2 linked regions of the Lytechinus pictus genome follow. The protein of the gene in region 2 interacts with the protein of the main gene of each other region in a pairwise test. Links are inferred from orthologs where the notes say so. Each region holds a gene or a part of one and is shown on either strand. Other genes may lie near its edges. The genes, in order: rho GTPase-activating protein 8-like and DNA primase large subunit-like.

What was found.
Region 1: the proteins of DNA primase large subunit-like (region 2) and rho GTPase-activating protein 8-like interact in a two-hybrid assay, tested with the Drosophila melanogaster proteins (2 studies listed by BioGRID). The link is inferred for Lytechinus pictus from reciprocal best matches to the Drosophila melanogaster genes Prim2 and RhoGAP68F.

The regions. Positions count from the first base shown.
Region 1 is NC_087263.1:10,185,645-10,189,244, forward strand, and holds the start of rho GTPase-activating protein 8-like, read right to left. Parts: upstream 2,608-3,600; 5' UTR 2,583-2,607; coding exon 2,384-2,582; intron 1-2,383. UniProt on the Drosophila melanogaster protein: Functions as a GTPase-activating protein (GAP) for RhoA/Rho1 during gastrulation by converting it to an inactive GDP-bound state.
Region 2 is NC_087261.1:23,515,891-23,519,490, forward strand, and holds the start of DNA primase large subunit-like, read left to right. Parts: upstream 1-1,094; 5' UTR 1,095-1,241; coding exon 1,242-1,395; intron 1,396-2,612; coding exon 2,613-2,722; intron 2,723-3,577; coding exon 3,578-3,600. UniProt on the Drosophila melanogaster protein: Regulatory subunit of the DNA primase complex and component of the DNA polymerase alpha complex (also known as the alpha DNA polymerase-primase complex) which play an essential role in the initiation of DNA synthesis.

The sequences.
Region 1 (3,600 bases), on a different chromosome or scaffold from region 2:
AGACAATGTGACCGGATATCGCTATCGATACTTTCGCACGCAGTCCGAAGGAATTATTTTGGCGACCACGTAGATGTAGTCATGACGTGATCTGCGCGATTGGCCAATCAGCGGTCTCCGATTCGCTGAGCCGAGACGGTCTATTCCTTGTACACAGTCTATGGACAATTTGCCACTGTGAAATACACAGTGTTGACGGGGGCGATTATGAGTTTTGCAGTCGCCCTCGTGTGAATGTTTTTAGCCCTTTTCCGAGGCTCTTTTTGGACTTTCCGGGGCGAATTCGCCCGCCGCCCCCGTGTAATTTTTTGGTTGTTCAACATACATGACATAGGACACAATCTCCCATATTTGGAGACTTGCTTTGCAAGAGTATAAAAGAAACAATACCAACAACCAAGAAGATATTTTTTTGTCTCACTGAGTCTGAGGTCAGGAGCCCATTTGTTTTGTGTAATGGATGACAACAAAAATCCTTGGCTTAAGAAAACAAAAGTAGACAGTAAATTTTTAAAGTAGATGAAAAGGGGTAATTTTTCATGAGGAACTCTGCTCATCGCATTTCCACTTTCAGTGTTCACTTCTTTTTTTTACTTTAGCGGAAAAAAAAATGAGTGGAACATGTCATGACTCATGTGATGTGTAAAGATACTGTCTTTTTTACTGACTGTCACCAGCACAAATCAAAGTGCCACTGGCGCTAATGCAGCATGCAGTTTGTACCAGCCGACTTCAAGCAAATTTCTCCACGCCGAAATTGTTCACAATACAATTTTGGGACATTTGGTTTTCAAGAGTAGGATGGGGGGTCGGGTGTCCGGACACTTTATATTTTTGAAGCCTTCTTTTTTGTCTTAAGATTACACTAAAAATATGAATTCAATAGTTGTAATCATCTTCTATTTTGTTCTCTATAATATTTTCTAACATTTTGTACTAAAAATTGATGAAACTTCGCTTGTAATTTTTTCCAAATGACTTTCTAAAATTGATCGTCCGGACACACAACAACTGCATTATTTTATATAAAAAACCAACCAACTTGCCAGTGCGAAACTGCATTAACGCACTCACTGGTGTCTCTCAGAGTCATATCATGATATTTGATAATTCCTAAAGGCAAGGCTCCACATTAACTTTTTTTGGTGGTGGCCCGTTCGGGCCACCAAAATCTCCAAATAATTTTTTTTGGTGGCCCGATATTAAAGTTTGGTGGCCCGAAAAATATAAAGAAAAACAAAAAATGAATAAATGGGTATAAATGGTTAAACCACTGTAAAAAAAAATGAAAGAAAATAATAAAACGGCAAAAAAAAGTGTGAGAAAATTCCTTCCCTAAATTTGCCAAAATGTTGGAAAAATTCACATTTCATATTATGAAATGCCTTCCCAAAGTATTGACTTTCTCAAGAGTTGTTTAAGAAATCATTTATAAACAAGAAAGAAAGTAACTGTCTGTTTATTTTTGGCAAGAAAAGACCGGAAAAGACACAGCTTCGAAAGAAACCAAGTAACACTAACAACATACATACAAATGCACATGTGGGACTGTGATGTACTCGCCTATGTGTTTTTATGTGTATTATTTTCATTTGGAAATCGGTCTTTTTGAGTCAAAAGAGAGGTCATGATTCCTCTTTTTAATGCTTGCAAATAATCAGGATACACCAGATTTTAGCAAAAAGGTCTGTAGAAGGGCATTTCATTGGTGTAAAATGTGACTTTGACTTGGATTTTCACAGTTTTGTGGAAGATTTCTTAGCAGCAACATTTCGTATTGCAGCTCCCTGAGTCTGAATAGGCTGCTAACGCACAGCTGCTTCAAGCATGCAAAGCTCACGCCAGCCGGCCGGCACAGCCGGCTGGATAAAAGCTACTTAATGCTATAGCGGTAGGCCAACTTTGTGTGTAGATCAACAAAAAGGGCACATGACGAACTGGCTTGCAATTTGAATTGTAGAAAGTTGATAAATGCGTGCAAAATGGGGAGAAAAATTGCGCTATTCTGAAAATTATTGGTTGCCCGATTCGGGCCACCAAAACTTAATAATATTTTTTCATTAATGGTTGCCCGAGGTGAATTTCTGGTGGCCCCGGGCCACCGCTAATGTCGAGCCTTGCTAAAAATAAAGGAATCCTATTTTCCAACAAGATCTGTCCTAACGGTGTCCTATATTTTGATACAATTCAACAGCAAAAAACAAAAACACACACGGTGCAGTACAGCACCCGTGGCCGTGACAGGGCAGGGTGCCAGCTGCTGCTGGCTGCGACGGAATAGAAGGGGATCCCGCTCCCGCAGCCTCAGGCTGAGGAACCGGCGGAGGAACCCGACATGATTGGTCACTGTCATTCATAATTGATTGAAGTGAACTCAACTCACTCAACACTTGGGCATCGCTCAAAGGATCGCCTCCAAATTCCTCTTCTGTATCTAATGTGGCCTCCATGTCTGCACCATCACCATCCTCGAATGATTTTCCAGCATTGTCATCTTCTTTGTTTATGTCTCTGACGTTGGATTTATCCCCACTTCCATTTTCCTCATCTACTGCTGATTTCGCCGTCACAATGTCCGCCATGTTGATTGTTGGACGCACGCAAAATTTCCGCTCGCAATTTCTCAGCTCACGTTACGCACCCTTTTTCCTTAATTTAATATTAATAATTAACATTTTCCCCTGGGATATTTTCTCATTTTTTCATGGAATAAAAATATAAATATTCATTAAGTTTAAATCCAGACCAATTATGGACAGACACAAATCGATATATCTTGACAGAGCCGCAATGGGAAATCCCAGAAAACAATGTTTTGTCTCTCGAATATTCTCTTACTTCCTCATATTTCAATGCCTTTGGACTTATCATTCGATTTCATACGGGATTTCATCTCTCCCCAACCACCCAAAAAGACATCTGTGATGTTTACCATTTCTCCGGTATCGCTTTTTATCAATTTCTCTTCTTTAAATCTGTCTCAACATTCTCCCTTGCATCTTTTTTGTAACATCCAATCTTTCCCTCTTAAATCGCTTTTTTATATACCACGCCCCTCTTTCTTAGTAATCTCTATAAACTTACTCATTCTCTTCATAAAATCCCCTTTTCAACCTTAATTTCTCTTCTGTCTGCAACACTCCTCTCTTCTGATTACTCAACCATACATGTACGTACTTCCCTTACCTGGTGTTTCTCTTTTCCATTTTTTGTTTGAGCTTTGATTACTATTATTATCAATAAAAAATTATGTGTGATTAATGTTCTTTTCTTGCTTTAATTATGTTCCATGATGGACTCGAACACACAGCTGCACAATTGTAAAAGTGCAATATGAACCTACTTGAATTATTCAAGAAAATAATTAGAGAACTTTCAATAAGAGGACAGTAAATAATTGACTTGGACATAGCAAGCTCTGTTGTGGAAAATATCCATGGTGACTGAAGCATGCCAAGATTAACTTTTATTTTAATCTACCTCTTATTTGTCTTCTTTTGTGTATTTTAAAGTTCACCATCATTGAAGAAGTGATGCCTGTGTGTCTATGATAAAGTTTGTTTTTCATTTATCAATACACACTGTACAAGCATGGGCTTA
Region 2 (3,600 bases):
TCAAATTCGCGCATGCGCCCTACACCCTCTCGAACGGCCATTTTGCTATGAATTTTGAAAGAAGGAGAGCCACCGCGACAGAACTGATCGTTTTTTGAGGTTCCAGTCTGTGCCTCGATGTCAGGAAACTGCCACTCGTTAGACTATCATCCATACAATCGTGGTAAGTGCTTAATTTCTGTTTAAATTATGTATTATGTAAATGATATTGACCAAACTTCACGGTACTCTCACCTGAATGCCCGTTTGTACACTGCGCGTCTGGGCTCCAGCCCGCTACGCGGGCTGGAGCTCTCTGGGTTAGCCCAAGGTATGCAATTACTTAAGTTATTTATATTTCCCTGATAATGGAAACCATGAAACTTTCAATTTTGCTTAAAAAACAGTTTTAAATCGCGATCTATAAAACGCTAGTTCACTATACGTTGGCTGTAGGTACGGGGCCCCATCCCCTTCAGTCTATGTATGGTGAGTGGAGCCAACGTAAACTAGTTCAGCGGAACAACCAAAATACAGAGACTGAAGCTTTTGGTCTAATCGTTCAGTAAGTTTCTTCTCGTATGACTTTATTTTATAAATCGACGGTCTCCTCTACTCTGTCGAGCTCTTGTGAAATTCGCGGGAGTTTGTTGCAATTTTGCATGCGCTGTGCCTTCAATTTACCTGTACACGACGGCAGTAATATACACCCATGGGTGCGTTTAAACATAACTTAAGTACGACAATACACCAGGCGGTGGACTGTACTGTTTCAGAAGAAGAAGAAGGCTTCAGAATACGGGCCTATATTTCCCACGTAGACACTCTAACTTAGATTACAATGTGTGGGACTGGGCTTAACGCTAGGGGACAAAATATCAGGTGAACTCACTTTAACACTTTTACTGGATCTCCGTATTTATCGTAAACCAATGATTTACAGGACGGAATCGATGAGAAGTATCTAAATTCTAAAAATGGTGCACGCAATGCTTGAAATCTTGAAATGTTCCCTGATTTTAAAATCCATCTCGCACATATCTTGAGGCTCATGGGCGCTGCCATCTTGGATTTGTGTTTGCGGAAGTGGAGAACACCCTCTCGCGGTTGATTTTGGCAAACGCGGGAAATTTAGTACGGGAAACTTTCGGCACAACATTACAATCTTTTTCGATTGATTCGAATTCACTGCGTGTGGCGCGGACCACTTTTAATATTTCTTCTGAAGACAGAGAGGTATTTCATCCAGATTTATCATTAACATGGAATTCTCAGAGAACACCACGAAGAAGAGGATCAAGAAGGAGTCGTTCATTGACAAAACCAAAGAACCCCATTTGCTGTTTTATCGGATTCCACCAATTGAGAACATTTCCCTCAGTGAATTTGAGGATCTTGCTAAACGAAGATTGGCAGGTAAGTCGGCGATTTCTTGCTTGCAGTTTTCAAGCGCAATGTACGCGCAATTCCCATGATTGTTTGATAAAATAGAGACACCAATAAATGCAATAACTTAAAAAACATAGGGGCCTACTTTTTATATTATTTTTGCTGACGATAATTAATACTTTTTGGAAAATATTGAAAGCGATGACAAATTAAACAAAAAAAAGAGAAAATTCTACGGACCTTGAAATTTGAATGAAGCCCGCAAGAGCTACCCTTCGTTTGTCAATAAATCATAATGTTTCACCAAAGTCTTTACAGTAAAAAGACTGGACACTTTGCCGACTTCGCGTAACGCTTTGCATCGATTTACGTGTAAAATAGTTTTTGTGCCTAGTCTTTCCCTCTACTTGTACAAGTTGTACTATTTGTACTTGTAGTGTCTTTGATATGAAGATAAATCGCACGCCCTCTTTAGCTAATTAGACAAAAAATTTGGGAAATAGAAGCAAACTCCGTATTTTGTCAACGAGAAGAAAAATCAACGCTTAAATGATTGAGGGATAGGCTATATCATATTAGGGGGAATTGACTTCACATCGTTCGGTAAGTTTCGTAGGACTTGATTTTATAAATCCTCTTCTGAAATTCGCGGGAGTTTGTTGAAATTTTGCATGCCTTCAATTTTCCTGTACACAGCAGCAGTAATGCACCCATGGGTGTCTCAATGGCTGCCTGAATTGATGATGCTCTGGAGCAGAAATTTAGGCTGAAAAAAAGGGTCGAGCGTGGCACATACATGTACATACAAACAATGGCATGCTGAGTAACCCCCCCCCCCCCCCCCCCCGGGACGAAGAGTGCAAGAACATGATATGAAGGAAGTTAAAATCGAATGTGTTAGGGTCCAGACTCCAGGTCAATTTTTTTTTTTTTGGGGGGGGGGTGAATGTACTATTCTCACAACTGCCTAACGTTAACTGTTTAGCCCAAATGTTAAAGGTCTAGTCCACACAAGAAAAATATTGATTTAAATCTAGAGGAAACTCCAACAAGCATTTAAAAAAATGCTGAAAATTTCATCAAAATCAGATGAAAAATAATAAGAAAGGTATTTTAAAGTTCAACTTATTTTTCACAAAATAGTTATATTAACAAGTCAGGTCTAGATCTCACTATAACATAAGAAAAGTAAAAAAAAATAATTATTATTGTTGAGTGATTTCCCTTTAATTTTGTTTTTTTAGTTCTGAAGCATGTTGAGTCTGTTGGTATCCGGCATGTCAAAGGAAGTGAGGAGTATAACGAAAGAATGGACAAAGAACTAAAAAAATTGATGCCCATTGCCCACAAGAAGGTATTGTAAATATTCACAACTGTTTAATAGTTCCAGAGAGAGAGAGAGGCCTGATTTTCATGAATCTAGTAATATTTCAATGATGATGATGGTGCTGATGGTGATGATGATGATGATGATGACGGAGATGATGGGGAGGGTTTGGATAGCATTCACAGAGAGAGAAGGGGGGATCCTGTAATGCATGAACTGAGTCATAATGATATTTTAACTATGATTATGATAGGGATGATGATGATGATGATGATGAATTGATGAGTATGGAGATGAAGAGGATGAGGGGGTGGAGAGGGGGGATACTGTGATGCATAAACTGAGTCATAATGATATTTTTACTATGATTATGATAGGGATGATGATGGTGATGATGATTTATAATGATAATAATGAGGATTCTGACAGTGATGATGGAGATGATAAAGATGATGATGATGACTGATGATGATAAGGATGAAAATGATAATGACGATAGTGGTGATAATGATGATGGTGACGATGATGATGATGATGATGGTGACAGTGATGATGATGATGATGGTGATGATGATGATGATGATGATGATGATGATGATGATGATAGCAATAAGGGATTATGAAGATGGGGAAGGCGATGATAGCAGTCAAGGGTTTACGATGGTAGGGTGGGTGTGATGATGATGCAGGAAAGAGACTATAGGCCTATGGTGACCGCAATCATGATGCTAACATGTTGCTGCTGACTGTTGATGATGCAACAACTTTCTCACAGTTATGCTCTGGAACCCAAGCCACAAACAACCAAACAAATATTGCATCAATGTTTAATAAATAAATATTTTCCATTGTAACTTCTTTTTTTATATTCTACCATGACAGATGAGTGGGGAAGACTTGGCAGC